Callithrix jacchus: one gene and its partners. Each later gene encodes a partner of the first gene's protein in a complex. Links are inferred from orthologs where the notes say so. Each region holds a gene or a part of one and is shown in the gene's direction. Other genes may lie near its edges.

Region 1 (3,558 bases):
TGAGGAGTGTTTGATTTTGAGGTGAATGTGGTTGAAGGAGCAGAGAGAGGTAGAAAGTCTGGAAGTTGTCAAGAACCAAGTACATACTAGACTTTGAGAATTGAGTGGTAAGGAATGGGGTTGGCATGATGAAAAAGGTGGTAGAGTTATCTGGAGACTGGAGTCTAATTTATCTTTCCTCCCCCCTTCTTTTAGTCCAGCATGAGTGCATCCCTCAGGCCATTCTGGGAATGGATGTCCTGTGCCAGGCCAAGTCGGGCATGGGAAAGACAGCAGTGTTTGTCTTGGCCACACTGCAACAGCTGGAGCCAGTTACTGGGCAGGTACATTTGGGGAGAGTGCTGGGGAAGGGATTTTGGTTAGGATTATAAGGGAAAGGGGTTTTTGTCCTAGCTACATGATGCTTGCAGAGCCATGAGCACATAACCGCTGTTAGCCTTGACAACCTGACAGCTGTGGGGAATGTTCTGTTGCAAGCATAGAGTTCATGATTTAGGTCACAGAATTAAAGTCATTTATCACTGGCCAGGTATATTTTTGTGACAATCACTTCCCTAGAGGAGATAATGAAGGGCTGTACTTACTGTATGTCTCCATCTACTTCCTGCCTAAGGTGTCTGTGCTGGTGATGTGTCACACTCGGGAGTTGGCTTTTCAGATCAGCAAGGAATATGAGCGCTTTTCTAAATATATGCCCAATGTCAAGGTAAGTCAAGGTAAAGAGACCTGAGAGTGAGGATGTGGCAAGTTGGAGGGATGAGAAACTTAATTTTGGAGAAACTATAGTTTGCCTTGGTTTAACAGAGTGTTAAGATCCTGTATAACAGGAGGATTCATTTCATAAGTGGGCTATGGATGATGCTCAAGACCACCCTTTTCTTACTACTTCATACTGAATTGAATCCTATCAGTTTGATCATTTTGAGGTGTGTGGCAGAGAAAGCTAGAAACTTTAAAAACAGCTCCAGTGGTGAGAATTTTGAGGATTCTGGCCAAGCATGGTGGCTCACTCCTGTAATCTCAGTACTTTGGGAGGCCAAGGTGGGTGGACCACTTGAGGTCAGGAGTCCGAGACCAGTCTGGCCAACACGGTGAAATCCTGTGTATGAAAAATGCAAAAATTAGCCTGGCGTGGTGACATGCACCTGTAGTCCCTCCTACTTGGGAGGCTGAGGTGGGAGAATCCCTGGGAACTGGGAGGCAAAGGTTGCAGTGAGCTGAGATTGTGCCACTGCACTCCAGCCTGGGTGACTTGAGACTTGGTCTCAAAAAAAAAAAAATTTTTTTTGTTTTTAAATTTAAGTTAAGCATTTTTGGCAAGAATGCTGCATAGGTGATGCTGTATCTCCTGTTATGCCACAAATCTGGTTGATCTATCTTTTTTTATTTTATTTTTATTTTATTTCGAGGTGGAGTTCTCTGTTTCTCAGGCTGTGAGTGCAGTGGTGCAATCTCAGCTCACTGCAACCTGTGCCTCCCAGGTTAAAGTGATTCTCCTGCCTCAACCTCCCGAGTAGTTGGGACTACATAGTGCCATCACGCCCAGCTAATTTTTGTATTTTTAGTAGCGACAGGGTTTCACCATGTTGGCCAGGTGGATCTCAAACTCCTGACCTCAAGTGAGCCACCTACCTTGGTCTCCCAAAGTGCTGGGATTACAGGCGTGAGCCATCACGCCTGGCCTCGTTAGAGATTTTAGATTTACGGTGGGATTAGTGTCATGACAGTTTGATTCCATGGTTCTTCTTTTCCCCCTTGAAACTAGAAAGTAGTTTCTGGTGTTACTTGATAGCGTACCAAGGCCCAGATCCCTAAATAACTATTCACCTAATGGATTTAACATGGAGTGATAATATTTAACCTCAAGCAATAATTTCATGGGGTTTGTGTGGAGATTCTGGGTTTATTTAGGATAACTTGATGTTTCGTGTGTTTTTTGTGGTACTTTACACTCATCTGGTGATTTCTTGCTGTTGTTTATTTATTACTATATTACTATTTGAGACAAGAGTCTTGCTCTGTTACCCAGGCTGGAGTGCAGTAGCATGATCTGAGCTTACTGTAACCTCTGCCTCTCGGGTTCAAGTGTTTCTTGCTGCCTCAACCTCCCGAGTAGCGCCCGCCACTGCGCCTGGCTAATTTTTGTATTTTTAGTAGACATGGGGTTTCACCATCTTGGTCAGGCTTATCTTGAACTCCTGACCTCGTGATCCACCCACCTCGACCTCCCAGAGTGTTGGGATTGCAGGCATTAGCCACTGCACCCGGCCTATATTTATTTTTTATTTATTCCTTGAGGTGGAGTCTCCCTCTGTTGCCCAGGCTGGAGTGCAGTGGCTTGATCTCCACTCACTGCAACTTCTGCCTCCCAGGTTCAAGCAATTCTCCTGCCTCAATCTCCTGGGTTATTTTTGTATTTTTAGTAGAGATGGGGTTTCACTGTATTGGCCAGGCTGGTCTTGAACTCCTGGCTTGAAGTGATCCACCTGCCTTGGCCTCCCAAAATGCTAGGATTACAGGTGTGAGCCACCGAGCCCAGCCTTATTTTTATTTTTATTTTTTGAGATGGTGTATCCCTCTTGTCACCCATGCTGGAGTACAGATCGTGGCTCACTGCAACCTCTGCCTCCAGGTTCAAGTGATTCTCGTGCCTCAGCCTCCCAAGTAGCTGGGATTACAAGAATGTGCCACCATACCTGGCTCCTTGATTTTTTAAATGAAGCCTGGCCTCATAAATGAAGGAAGATGGTTAGATTAAGTCAGAAGAACTGAATTCTTGTCCTGACTGTTCTGAGTAGTTCTGTAACTTGAGGCAATCACTTTTGTTATAAACCTCAGTGTTTGGTGGGGCGACATAAAATTTTTAAATTAGGTGACCTCTAAAAGTTTATTGTAGTTTTGAAACATGCTAAAAATTGGTTTAGCTCAAACTGAGAGTGGGAACCCTGGGGGGATTGGACTCTTTCCTTCCTTGTTTTTGAGACTCTTTGCTCTTGGCTTGGCAGGTTGCTGTGTTTTTTGGTGGTCTGTCTATCAAGAAGGATGAAGAGGTGCTGAAGAAGAACTGCCCGCATATCGTCGTGGGGACTCCAGGCCGTATCCTAGCCCTGGCTCGAAATAAGAGCCTCAACCTCAAACACATTAAACACTTTATTTTGGATGAATGCGATAAAATGCTTGAACAGCTCGGTGAGTGGCAGTGCTGGGGCTTGGCTAATGCTGGGGAGTTGTTCTTTGGAGCCAAATGATGTTTATTTGAAACAGGAGCACCTCAGTGTAAGGACGACTCTTATCTATCACCCATGACTGATGGCTCTGGGTTCCCTGGTTGGTTTTTATTCTTTTAAGCACAGTAAGGGGGTCATCTATCATCTTTCTATGATTTCTTTTTAACCTTTGAGAATAGGGGACTTTGATAATTTAGGCATAAGTCGTCACCACCACTACCCTTTCCATTAAATATTTCTGTACTGGGAGTCATAGGGGATATTCTAAACTGAAGGAGAAGACTGTCTACCCTTATGGCATCTCCAGCACAACATACACAGTCAGAATTTA
Region 2 (4,141 bases), on another chromosome or scaffold:
GAGGGAAGGTCTTGGTGCCTGGTCTGGAGGAGAGGGAGGCTCCTTGTCCCTTTGCGGGAGTCGCTGGTCTCTTCTGTTGTGGGGACGAAGGAAGCTGGGAGGGGCGCTGTCCACTAGCACTCAGAGCTCCATTATGTCCCCAGCTGGGGTCGAAGGGTAGGAGGGACTGGGGATGTCCCCCAGCCTCAGCAACCGGAGGGCTTCAGGGATGAGGCTGCCAGGGTATCGCCAGAGAAGCAGCTCAGAGCAAGAGCTCCTAGAAGAGGAAATGATAGTCGGCAAGGGGGCTGAGGCGGCCTAACTGAGCACCTCCCACCAGGTCCAGGTCCCCAGGGGCTCCCGGGTTCTCAGCACTTTCCAAAGAGCCAAGATGGGAAACAACCCAGAGGTCAGCTAGAGCTAAAAATGGCACGATGAGGCAGGGCCTGAGGTCAGCTCTGAGAACCGCCTGTGATCCTGCAGAAAGCCTGGCCAGTGGAGGAGCCTACCTGAGTGGGGGCAGGGCCGGGGGGAAGGTCATAGGGGGGCTGCAGTAGGGGTGATCATTGTGCAGGCTGAGTTGAGAGAAATGGGTGGCCATGTTCTCCTCAGACAAAAACTGCTTGCGCAGAGGCTCCCTGGGGAGAGATGAAAGAGAGGGAGGCTGGGAAACTGAGACAGGAGACAGCGTGTTGGGGACCAGAGGTGACAGAGATCTTGTTGGGAGTCCCTCCCTGCCCCCCAAACTCACTGCTCCTCCTCCAGGCGCCGCTTGGTGCTCAGGGGCACAGCTCCTCGGAGAGGGGAGCTGGGAAAAAAAGAGAGCCTGGTGCACCCCACCCTCTTGGCCCCTTCCCAAGGATCTGCCCGCCTGAGCCTGCAGCATCAGCCAGGAGCCCCAAGCCCATTCCTGTCTCAGGTGGTGCTTGTCCCCTCTCTTCTGGGCCATCCAGCAGCGTACCTCGAAAGTCTCGACCTTGAGCCGAAGACCCAATCCGGTCTCAGTTTACACCTAAGCCCCGCCGATTCGCCCTACACCGTGTCCATCTGCAGACCAGCCCTGAGCACCCAGCCAAAGCTCCTGCGGCCCTTGGTCAGGCCCACCCTGGTCCCCTACACGCACCTAGCGTCCAGGCCGCGAGTCACCCCCAAGGCGGCCCGCGGGAGGCGCTGGGCCCCACCCTGCGGGCCTCGCTCCAAGGGCTGCTCCAGGATCATTGGGTTTTGGGGTCCTGCGGGTGGGATCTGGGCGACGGAGGCGGAGTCTCTGAGGGCGTGGCCCAACGCGAAGGGGTGTGGCTTTAGGCGTGCGCAGCTGCGAGGTTCTGCGCGGGCGCGGAAGACGTGGGGCGCGTGGCGGAAGGCGGGCCTGTTCCTCGGGGTGGGGGAAGGGATCGGCTTAGCGGAACTGCGGTGGGCGTCACTTCTTAGTGTCGGGGGTTTTCGTGGTGCTCACCTCGGCTCCTGGGGTTCAGTACAGTACGCAGCAGTCACCTTCGCGCCGAAGGCGGCAGGGCGCCGCGAGGAGTAACCGCTCTAGGAACGTACGGCATCGTGAGATTGCGTTGCGCGCGAGCACTCTGGGACTTGTAGTTCTGGAGATGGAGCGAGCTGTGCCGCTCGCGGTGCCTCTGGGTCAGGTGAGACGGACGTGGTGCGCGGTGCCTTCTGGGGTTTGTAGTCCATGCATGACTTGGACAGGGCGGGCAGGGAATAGTGCCCCGAGCCCTGTTTTGCTAGGGCTGTTTGTGGGACTCAGATTATGACCGGGTCGGGGGGTGGGGCGGGAAAGTAACCAATAAGGCCTCAGGGGCTTAACGCAAGTCAGAGAATAGGGATTACAAGTCAGTACGTTTTTCTATGTTGGGGTAGTAGAGCCACTTTTTTTTTTTTTTTTTTTTAAATCGGGCTGGTCTTGAACTCCTGACCTCAGGTGATCCACCCACCTCTGCCTCCCAAGGTGCTAGGATTACAGGCGTGAGCCAGCGCGCCCAGCCGAGCAGAACCACTTTTTAAACACTTTTTTTTTTTTTTTTTTTGAGACCGAGTCTGTCCCCAGGCTGGGGTGCAATGGTGAGATCTCGGCTCACTGCAACTTGTGCCTCCCAGGTTCAAGCGATTCTCCTGCCTCAGCCTACAGAGTAGCTGGGCCTACAGGCATGTGCCACCACGGCCAGCTAATTTTTGTGTTTTTAGTAAAGACAGGATTTCACCATGTTGGCCAGGCTGGTCTCAAACTCCTGACCTCAGGTAATCTGCCTGTCTTGGCCTCCCAAAGTGCTGGGATTACAGGTGTGAGCCACCGTGCCTGGCCAAATTTTTAAATTTTTTTTTTTTTGTAGAGATAGAGTCTCACTATGTTTCCCAGGCTGCTCTCGAACTCCTGGCATCAAGCGATCCTCCCGCCTCAGCCTCCCAGATCGCTGGGATTACAGGCTTGAGCCATGGCACCTGGCTTAAGCACTGAGTGACAGCTTTGTGCAAAGCTCTGTCTATACACTAGCTCATCTAATCGTGACAATCTCCTGTGAGCTCCATTTGAAAGTTGAGGAAGCTGGTAGGAGAGGCTTGGGTGTTTGCTCAGAGGTTCATGAGGCGTCACACCTCAACTCTCCCCTTCTTCAGTGTCTTCTTGGAGCCACCTATGGGACTGCATGGGCAGGTGCTGGCTGCTGCAAAAGAGGTCTGAGAAGTCAGGACAGTGGGAGGCCTGGCAGGTGTAGCGGGGAAGCAGGGAGGAGTCTGTGGATGGGAGGTTTCAGATGTCCCAGGCAGGCCTCATCCAGTCTTTCCTTGCAGGCAGAGGTGTTCCAGGCCTTGCAGCGGCTCCATATGACCATCTTCTCCCAAAGCGTCTCACCGTGTGGGAAGTTTCTGGCAGCTGGCAACAATTATGGGCAGATCGCCATCTTTAGGTACCCTCTGCTGCCGTCCACCCATTAGCCCTGGCACTTGGTCTTCATGGGACAGATGCCCCTGTTTCTGACTCCTGGGTCCCCTCCATTGTCCCCTGCAGCTTGTCTGCTGCTTTGAGCTCGGAAGCCAAAGAGGAAAGTAAGAAGCCGGTGGTGACTTTCCAAGGTGGGTCTAGCTGTGGAGTCTGGCTTCGGGGCTTTGGGTGGGATCGGCTGACTTACTTCCGGATTTCTCTTCAGCCCATGATGGGCCGGTCTACAGCATGGTCTCCACAGATCGACATCTGCTCAGTGCTGGGGATGGGGAGGTGAAGGCCTGGCTTTGGGTGGAGATGCTCAAGAAGGTAAGGAGTGAGGCTGGGGCAAGGGCTGGGGTACCCAGACCCAAAAAGGGCCTTTGAGGTCGCCTCATGTTTTTCCTTTTGAAGGGCTGTAAGGAGCTGTGGTGCCGTCAGCCTCCATACAGGTGAGCCAGGGCCACGTGGATAGAGGGCGCATGGGGGTGAAGGCACTCCCTCACTTACCCTGACTTTCCTCCCCCAGGACCAGCCTGGAAGTGCCTGAGATCAATGCTTTGCTGCTGGTCCCCAAGGTCTGAGCCCCATGTGACTGTTGTTGGTCCAAACTTTGATTCTTCACTCTCTGCCTTTCCTGATTTGACACTGACTTCCTGCCTCACCCTCCTCCTTCACAGGAGAATTCTCTCATCCTGGCTGGGGGAGACTGTCAGCTGCACACTATGGACCTTGAAACTGGGACCTTCACGGTGAGCAGGGGCTTGGAGCCCTAGAGCAGGTCCAGGCCAGGGAGAGGCACTCTTCCTAGATCTCCTCACATTGCCCCTCTACTGCAGCGGGTCCTCCGGGGCCACACAGACTACATCCATTGCCTGGCATTGAGAGAAAGGAGCCCAGAGGTGCTGTCGGGTGGTGAGGATGGAGCTGTTCGACTTTGGGGTAAGGAGGTGGCTGGCTGGAGGGCAAGATGGCAGTGAGGGAGGCTGAGGCTCGTGGGGCACTACTTAGGGTGGGTTCTTTCCCTGCAGACTTGCGCACAGCCAAGGAGGTCCAGACAATCGAGGTCTATAAGCACGAGGTGAGGGTGTGACCGTGGCCATTGTCCTCTTTCCCAGAAACTCCTTTAACCCTCTAGGACTTCACCTCTTTCCCTCCTCCCCTTCCCCTCCCAGGAGTGCTCCAGGCCCCACAATGGGCGCTGGATCGGATGTTTGGCAACTGATTCTGACT
Region 3 (4,012 bases), on another chromosome or scaffold:
TCAGATTCCCTGAACTCTATTGGGAATGAAGAACTTCCCCATCACGCAGAAAATAAAAACTGAAGACTTGGGGAAAACTTTAAAAGGCAAGAAGAATCCTCACTACATTTTAGAGACATAGTCATTTTCTCACTGATCTTTACGTTTCAACTGTAACATGAAGGTGTATGCGTAGGCTTGGGGCACTCACTTCAGGGAGCAAGGGAAACAGGAAATCTCACTTTCCTGAAGAAGTTAACCATGAAGAGGTCACGCACACCCAGAATTCCAGGAGAAAGTCATGGAATCATCAAAGAACCACTAAGAAGGGATGACAGAGTAAAGCTCTAGTCCCAACCTGTTCTCTGGGGCTTGTCCACCCTGTCTCACCTCCGTGGCATGTCAGCAGTCAGCATCCCCACTGCTTCTCTCAAGCGTGGGGCACGACAACAACTTGCCCACGCCTTCTGGACTGGGTTAGGAAGGAACCTGAGCTCAACGTTTCGAGAGATGGAGCCTTAGCTCTGACTCCAGGGGCGGCAGTGATCAACTGAACTCGGATCTTTAAAATTGTGGTAGCTCTAAAGCTGATGATGTCTGGTTAGGAAGCGGCTCTTGCCCGCCCCAGCCACCCGCCAGTTCCTTAAGCCCGCCCCATTCCCTCCCAGCTTCCTCCTCTCATGTTCGTCGGTTTTTTTCAGGGCTCCCTTCAGCATTCGTTTCTCAGCATTTAAGTCACCGCTTCCTCGGCGCCCCTTTCGCCTCCCACCATATTTCCTTAGCAACCTTTCTAGTCCTCGCGGCCCCTACCTGCCAGCTTCAGATCCCTGTCTGCTTATGGGCGAGGCGCCGGCTACCACATCTGAAGTCTCCAGGAAGTGACTCCTCTCCGTCTGCCCCTTCCCTATTGGAGGAACATAATCAGCGGTTGGTGATATGTGATGCAGACGCACAATTGGTTGCCATTTCTGTCGTTCGTAAGATAAGTGCCCGCCCCTCTCTCTGTCCCCCCTTTTGAAAGAGGTGGGGAAAGCTGCCGAGAGACATGAGGGACGTCAGCTATTGACCAATGGGAAGAGCTGATGGTATGTAGTGGGAGCAAGAGTGGCAACGATTGGTCAGCCTTGCATCTCTACGCCTAAGGCGGGAGCTCCTGGAGGCGGAGGCAGCGGGTGGGGGCTTAGCGGAGTGAGGGGTAACAAGATGGCGACCGAGACGGTGGAGCTCCATAAGCTGAAGGTACCGTAAATCGGGGAAGGGCTCAGTTGGACTTTTCTGGGAACTGAATTCTGCACAGTGACTTGCGTCTTCTCCTACGTGTTCTCCTTGCAGCCTTTTCTACTTTGTTTCTTGGCTCCCGCCGTAGCTCTTTTGTGCCACCCTTCCACACTACGCCTTCCCTAATTTTCCATTTCTCCTCACGGTTTTACTGCTATATTTTTTTGTTATTTCTGTTCCCTTCATCCTTGTATCGTCCGTCACCCTTGTCCACCAGGTTGTAAGTGCCTTCTACCTGTTATACTCCTCGTTGCTCTTCTGGTCTGCATTACGTCAGTTGGTCCCTCCTCTTTGCCCCACGTCGGACCCAGGATCCCTTTTTCTTCCCTGGAATTATGTTTCCAGTCTGTCTTCTGAAGCTGAGACTCGCCTATTATATTAGCAGATGGTGGCATTTTTGTGTGTCGCTATTTGAATAGATCCCAGACACTCCCCTTTTCTAGGTGGGATTACGCCACCAGGGAGAATTTTGAAACCAGGGAAAGGCCTCACCTTAGAAGCCTGGGGTTGAGGAGGCCTTGAGATAGAAGTACAGACACCTCAGATTTAAAAGTTTTCCAGTTCTCTCACGCGGTTCTCCACTTGCCAGCCTTCCTCACACACCGTCTCCTACCACCAGAGAGAATTCATACCTGCAGTATTTGGGAAAAACAGTTCCAAGGTTAAGATTATCTCTGTTCCATTTCATATCTCAATGGGCTCTGCATCTCCTGGTGTTTTACCATTGGGTGACACTGAATCACAGAAGCTATTTTAAATTGTCTTATGAGAATCTTGGTAGTTTTCTCATACTTGGATTATTATTTTCCTGAAAGAGAGAGTATTTATTTAAGGTAGATTGCAAACAACTAAGAGAGATAAAAAAGTTAAAAAATATATTAAAAAGAAAATTTCAAAGAGTATTTTCTTTTAGGGTAAACTAATCTTGATTAATTCTCTGTGGTTTCACAGGTAGATTTCCTATTGGATGTTTTGGACAAACCAGGCTGATACAGCTGAAACTGAAAAGTGATCCTTTAAAGCTTGAAGTGTTTTTTTGTTTGTTTTTGTTGTTAAGAAAGCTTAAGGGTAGGGAGAGGACCTTTGTTTAGTCACTTATTAGTTGACCCCTATTAGTCTTTCTGTGAAAGCTGATATTTTTCTTACTCTTGGATTCTAAACTCTGTTTAGTGGGTTTTTGTGTTATTCTCAAGTTATTGTTAACTTGGTGGTACTGAAATGCATAGACTATCAGTGGTTTCCTGATAATTATTGTGATGAGTAAAAGAAAAATTGAGCAATAATCTCCACTTGGTGTATATATACTGTACTTATAGAAATTGTATGCTTCTGTACCATTATAAAACATAGAAAAGGAATTTTTGAATGAGACAAAAAGGAACTATGCATAGAAGACTTAATATTTTCTTTCTATTTGTCTTTTTTTTTTTTTTTTTTTTGAGACAAAGTCTCACTGTGTAGCCCAGGCTGGAGAGTGCAGTGGTGGAGTCTCAGCTCACTGCTCCCTCCACCTCCCAGGTTCAAGCGATTCTCCTGCCTCAGCCTCCTGAGCGGCTGGGACTACAGGCATGTGCTACTATGCCTGGCTAATTTTTATATTTTTAGTGAGATGGGGTTTCACCATATTGGCCAGGCTGGTGTCGAACTCCTGACCTTGTGATATGCCCACCTTGGCCTCCCGAAGTTCTGGGATTACAGGCATGAGCCACCACACTATTTATCCTATTTTTGAAATCCCTGGAGTAAGTCACCAGCTGCCCCATGACTTACTTGTTTTTATAATTGTGTTTGTTTATGGAGTTCCTCCTTCCATCAAATCTGTGTTTGTCAGATCTATATTAAACTTGTATTTGACTGGATAAGTAACTTTTACATAAAGTCCTCTGACCTGATTTCAGTGTTGCAGTCTAAGAAAACATTAGGCACTCCTGACAGCCTAAAAAGGACTCACTCTTTAATCACATTTGCTTGTCTTTGCTTTTTCTCTAGAGCACTTCTTAACCTTTTGGAGGTCACAGATATCTTTGAAACTCTGATGAAAGGTATGGACCCTCTCTCGCCAGAAAAAGGCATGTACACGTACTTTGCATGCAGTTTGAGGGGCTTCATAAAACTACCTTGTAGCCCTGAGGAGTCCATGGACCTCTGGTTAAGAACTCATGCCTTCGACCAGGCATGGTGGCTCATGCCTATAATCCTAGCACTTTGGGAGACTGAGATGGGTGGATTGCTTGAGGCCAGGAGTTGGAGACCAGCCTGGGCAACATGGCGAAACCCCACCTCTACTCAAAATGCAAAAATTAGCCAGGCATGGTAGTGCGTGTCTGTAGTTCCAGCTACTGGGAAGGCTGAGGCACAAGAATCGCATGAGCCCCGGGGTGGAGGTTGCAATGAGCCTGGATTGTGCCACTGCTCTCCAGCCTGGCGGACAGTGAGACTCTGTCTCAAAAAGAAAAAAAGAACTCATGCCTTTGATTCTGATATTTAGGACGTTTATGTTTGGTTCCACTGGTGATCTTGATGTAATGATCCTGACTTCTAGGTTGACTTGAGGTTTTATTGCCTTTAAAAAAAAATCTTGGCTGGGTGCAGTGATCCATACTTGTAATCCCAGCACTTTGGGAGGCTGAGGCCAGGAGTTTGAGACTAGCTTAGGCAACATAGTGAGACCCTGTCTCTACAAAATATTAAAAAATTAGCTGGGCATGGTGGCGCACACTTGTAGTTTCAGAGCAGTGACTGACACCTGTCATCC
Region 4 (4,235 bases), on another chromosome or scaffold:
TATATTTAACAGGAGCCACTGAGGCTAGTCCAGCAGGCAGACAGCGGAAGGGACACTCACAGTCGGGGCAGCAGCCATTAAACGCCATCCTGCAGATGCCACAGTTCTCATCGTTGGCCACCCAGAGCCAAGTGGCCACGCCATTCCAGCACTTAATCTTCACCTTCATGGCAGCAGAGCCTGTACCCGAAGGGAAGAGGATGACAGGCTTAATTTAGTCTGCAGAACTAGAAGATTTAGGCACCAAAATAGGAATAAGCCTGGCACAGTGTAGTCTCAGCTACTCAAGGGGCCAAGGCAGGAGATCACTCCAGCCCAGGAATTCGAACCCAGCCTAGGAACATCGTAAGCCGTTTCTATTTTACTTTTCTTTTGTTTTTGAGACGGAGTCTTGCTCTGTCGTGTAGGCTAGAGTACAAGGGCGCACTCTTGGCTCACTGCAATCTCCGCCTCCCGGGTTCAAGCCGGCCTCCCAAAGTGCTGGGATTACAGACATGAGTCATCGCGCCCGGCCCGACTAATTTTTTTTTTTTAAGAGACAGTGTCTCACTATGTTGCCCGGCTGGCCTCACTGAGCTCAAGCAATCCTTCCACCTCGGCCTCCCAAGCAGCTGGGATTACAAGTGTGCAATGGCACACCCGACTTTCGACTTTTTTTTTTTAGATATGGGGGTCTCACTACGTTGCCCCAGCTGGTCTCAAACTCCTAGGGTGAAGCGATCCTCTTGCCTCGGCCTCCCAAAAAGTTTGGAGCACAGGCGTGAGCCCCGCGCCGGGCCCGTACCAAAACTTGTAAAGGATATGACTAGCAAATGTGAGATTGGAGACTTCGAGGTTGCAGGTGGAGACCAAAAACCCCGGCTCAAAAACCAAAAAGCAACCCGCAGCAGGTCTGCACCGGCTGCAGCCCGCTGAGGCCACTCCCGCAGGATCCCGCCCCGAGCCAAGCGCACAGCCCTCGGGCGGGCGCAGAAACAAGGACCCCCGCAGGTTCCCGGACACCCGCCGCGCCCGCAGCGCCCCCAGCCCTAGCAGAAGGGCGGGGCAGGCGGGGAGGGAGGGGAGCGCATGCCCCACTCCCAACGACCGCCGCCCAACCCCCTGCGGCCTCGCACCTTCGCCAACCTAATCACGCACGGCTCTGCCCGCCCTTCCGTTGGCAGCGCTGACGTCCGCGCGGGAAGGTATAAAAACGACCACAGTCACGGCCCGGCTCCCTCAGCAGCGCCCGCCGAGTCCCGCGCGGCAGTGCGCACGCGCTTCCCCGTCTCTCCCCGTCCCGCGCGCGCTGCGGTCCGCAGGCGGCCAATCACTAGCCGCTCCGAGGCCGTAGCACCGGAAGGCCTCACGCGGCGCCGGAGGTGACGTGCTGGCGTGCTGACGCGCGGGCTCGAGCCGATGCCCGATTCCGCGCCCGCCATGGCCGACAAAATGGACATGTCTCTGGACGACATCATTAAACTGAACCGGAGCCAGCGAGGAGGCCGCGGCGGGGGCCGGGGCCGCGGCCGGGTCGGCTCCCAAGGCGGCCGCGGCGGCGGGGCGCAGGCCGCCGCGCGAGTGAATCGAGGCGGCGGGCCTATCCGGACCCGGCCGGCCATCGCCCGCGGCGCGGCCGGCGGAGGCGGGAGGAACCGACCGGCGCCCTACAGCAGGGTGAGTGTGGAGGCCGGCCGCACCGGAGAGGGCAAGCCGGGGAGGCTGGCGGCGAAGGCCGAGCCCGGCTGGCTGATAGGGCTGGTGGAGCGGCCGCCCGGAGGTCCGGAGGGTGCGTGTGGGAGGGCGCATAGGGGGTGGTGGGCGGGGGCGAGGTCGTTCATTCCGGGCCCGGCCCGGAGGCTGAGACCCTTTTCAACCCTTTGTTCCGGCCGCCGGGACCTCGTGGCGGCGTGAGCGGAGGGGTAGCTGAGCGCGGCAACAGCGGCGGGAAGTTAGTGGAAGGGAACTGAAGTTGTGCTGCCGCGGTGGGACCGTGCGGCCTCGTACCTGGGGCTGCTTTAGCGGCCGGAGGGAGCGCTGGCGGCCTCATCTCCGCCGGATCCTCTCAGGCCGGGAAGAGGAAGGGTCCGGGGTCGCCGCGAGGACTGGGAAAGCCCTGGACTGAGACTCACAGGTCTGCTGTTGTTGTGGTTTTTCCTTCAGCCAAAACAGCTTCCTGACAAGTGGCAGCACGATCTTTTCGACAGTGGCTTCGGGGGTGGTGCCGGCGTGGAGACGGGTGGGAAACTGCTGGTGTCCAATCTGGATTTTGGAGTGTCAGATGCCGATATTCAGGTAAGAGACTAAGGCTTCTCGGTGACCCGTTCGCCCTGCACAGGACGGATCATATTTTGGGGGATGTGGCCCTGAGTCCCCTTCCCGCCTTGGCAAAGGGAGCCCTCCCAGCTCTGAAGGGCTGCAGGACAGACCTAGCGCCAGTAAAGCCAGGGTCAGTCCGCAGGCAGGTGCGAGCCTAGCCTAGCCTGAGGATCTGCTGCTCTTAGTCTGAATATGGGTTCTGTGAGTGAAAATCCTCTGCCAGGGCTTCCAGTTTCTAACAGAGAAAAAGACTGATCAAATGTGAGTGGTTCTTGGCTGTTAGACTCAGCCCACTTGTGCTTTAAATTTAGTGCCTGTTTTAGTGGGTTAATGTGACAAAAAGAATCTTCCTTATGTACCTTGTAAAGCAGAGGGAGCCTGTGTGTTTTTCTAGCTCTGTTTGACTTGAGTATTGTCTTAAAAAGACCTTGTAAATTGTGGTTTTATCACTCCCCGCCCCCATGTCCTGTCAGCGACTTGATTCTCTAACTCATTAAAGCTTTTTTTTAAAAAAAAAAAAAAAAAAAAGAAAGAAAGAAAAATTGAATCCCAACGGCATTTAAAGTTGTTTTCTGGTTAAGAAGTGGCTTTTTGGGAATCAGTTTTGGAGATGGCTGGGCAGGGTTCAGTTGTCCACAGCCTAGCCATTTGCCTTGGGAGGACAGAGCAGGGCCAGTGAGCACTCACAGTGTCTCAACACTTTTTTTAAGGTGGTTTCTAGCATCCACTGGAAACCGCTTTTGGTGAACTCCACTTCCCGCTGTGTGCCTGCGGCCGGAGTATCCCCACACTCTGGGTTCCCTCTCCAACTCCCAGCCTGCCTGAGGTCAGGGCAGTTTCCATGGCAGCGCTTGACTTCAGACTTTGCCGCAGGCTTGAGTAGGAGGAGAGGGAAAGGTGAGCCAGAATCTGCCTTTGGGGGAGGGGCTGGGGTCAGGGTTCCCAAGTCAACAGGCCCTTCAAGCTGGTCTGATACCGGACCAGTTCCCTTGCTCTTGATCTTGGCCTTTACAGTTTCTTGGAACAGCCCTTGGGTGTGTTGTAAATTTTCCTTTGTTGAAGAGGATAGTGGCTTAATTTTGTGCCCCTTTCTAGTGGGCTTTGCGACTTCCTCTACCTGCATCGTGGTACACCTGTCAGGTCCCCTCAATGGCAGGAGCCCTCAGACCCAGGCGCTCTTGGAAGTTGCTGTCCCTCCTGCCCTGCCCTTCCCTCATTTCCCATTACCACTGCCCTGCCTCCCAGGGAACCACCCCCAAAACAGCTCACGCTTCCAGGGCCTGTCCCTGGGCCACCAGAAGGAGCACAGTTTTGTTGCTCTTCTGACAACTGCTCTTTGCAACTCCAGGAACTCTTTGCTGAATTTGGAACACTGAAAAAGGCAGCTGTGCACTATGACCGCTCTGGCCGCAGCTTAGGAACAGCAGATGTACACTTTGAGCGGAAGGCAGACGCCCTGAAAGCCATGAAGCAGTATAACGGTGTCCCTCTGGATGGTGAGTGTGGGCGGGGGGACCCACGCTGACTGTCGGGCTTGTGGAGTTTGGGGCTGGCACCTGTCCAGGTAGGAATATGGGGTACCCCTGTGGCTGAGGACACTTTGCATTTGCCCCTTTGTCTCTCTCTTCCATCTGCCACCTCTCATGCTGCCCCACACATCTGGACCAACCTCTTGTGAACCCCCATCCAGCAAGCTACATCCCTCCCCTCCTTCAGCTCCTTCCGGAAGATTCACTTCTGTGAAGCCTTCTCAGAACCGCCATAGTACACCTCTGAGTGCGGGGCTGTAGTCGTAAAGACAAAGGTACCGGTTCTTCTTCGTCAGGTCACCCACACCTCTCCACCTACGAGCACCCCAACACCTCAGCAAGCAGCCCACCTAGTCTAGACTGAGAAGGAGTGAGGAGGTGTTGGTGGGGTTGCTTCCTTGCCATTTT

Evidence for each region.
Region 2: DDX39B (region 1) and THOC6 share a complex: the UniProt entries of both Homo sapiens proteins name them as parts of the transcription/export (TREX) complex. The link is inferred for Callithrix jacchus from reciprocal best matches to the Homo sapiens genes DDX39B and THOC6.
Region 3: DDX39B (region 1) and SARNP share a complex: the UniProt entries of both Homo sapiens proteins name them as parts of the transcription/export (TREX) complex. The link is inferred for Callithrix jacchus from reciprocal best matches to the Homo sapiens genes DDX39B and SARNP.
Region 4: DDX39B (region 1) and ALYREF share a complex: the UniProt entries of both Homo sapiens proteins name them as parts of the transcription/export (TREX) complex. The link is inferred for Callithrix jacchus from reciprocal best matches to the Homo sapiens genes DDX39B and ALYREF.

Annotation. Positions count from the first base shown.
Region 1 is NC_133505.1:39,022,650-39,026,207, reverse strand, and holds part of DDX39B (spliceosome RNA helicase DDX39B), read left to right. Parts: intron 1-195; coding exon 196-323; intron 324-613; coding exon 614-706; intron 707-3,005; coding exon 3,006-3,189; intron 3,190-3,239; exon of another isoform or gene 3,240-3,315; intron 3,316-3,558. UniProt on the Homo sapiens protein: Involved in nuclear export of spliced and unspliced mRNA. Component of the TREX complex which is thought to couple mRNA transcription, processing and nuclear export, and specifically associates with spliced mRNA and not with unspliced pre-mRNA.
Region 2 is NC_133513.1:5,170,863-5,175,003, forward strand, and holds the start of THOC6 (THO complex subunit 6), read left to right. Parts: upstream 1-1,298; 5' UTR 1,299-1,580; coding exon 1,581-1,619; intron 1,620-2,604; exon of another isoform or gene 2,605-2,623; coding exon of another isoform or gene 2,624-2,662; intron 2,663-2,778; coding exon 2,779-2,894; intron 2,895-2,995; coding exon 2,996-3,060; intron 3,061-3,134; coding exon 3,135-3,238; intron 3,239-3,322; coding exon 3,323-3,360; intron 3,361-3,437; coding exon 3,438-3,486; intron 3,487-3,588; coding exon 3,589-3,660; intron 3,661-3,747; coding exon 3,748-3,850; intron 3,851-3,939; coding exon 3,940-3,989; intron 3,990-4,083; coding exon 4,084-4,141. Other genes in the region: HCFC1R1 (host cell factor C1 regulator 1), read right to left, coding at 121-256, 489-617, 731-787, 1,103-1,197. UniProt on the Homo sapiens protein: Component of the THO subcomplex of the TREX complex which is thought to couple mRNA transcription, processing and nuclear export, and which specifically associates with spliced mRNA and not with unspliced pre-mRNA.
Region 3 is NC_133510.1:63,834,425-63,838,436, forward strand, and holds the start of SARNP (SAP domain-containing ribonucleoprotein), read left to right. Parts: upstream 1-1,169; 5' UTR 1,170-1,182; coding exon of another isoform or gene 1,183-1,218; intron 1,219-3,246; 5' UTR 3,247-3,292; coding exon of another isoform or gene 3,293-3,299; exon of another isoform or gene 3,300-3,326; intron 3,327-4,012. UniProt on the Homo sapiens protein: Binds both single-stranded and double-stranded DNA with higher affinity for the single-stranded form. Specifically binds to scaffold/matrix attachment region DNA. Also binds single-stranded RNA. Enhances RNA unwinding activity of DDX39A.
Region 4 is NC_133506.1:137,488,142-137,492,376, reverse strand, and holds the start of ALYREF (THO complex subunit 4), read left to right. Parts: upstream 1-1,392; 5' UTR 1,393-1,398; coding exon 1,399-1,656; intron 1,657-2,142; coding exon 2,143-2,274; intron 2,275-3,646; coding exon 3,647-3,794; intron 3,795-4,235. Other genes in the region: anaphase-promoting complex subunit 11, read right to left, coding at 61-169. UniProt on the Homo sapiens protein: Functions as an mRNA export adapter; component of the transcription/export (TREX) complex which is thought to couple mRNA transcription, processing and nuclear export, and specifically associates with spliced mRNA and not with unspliced pre-mRNA.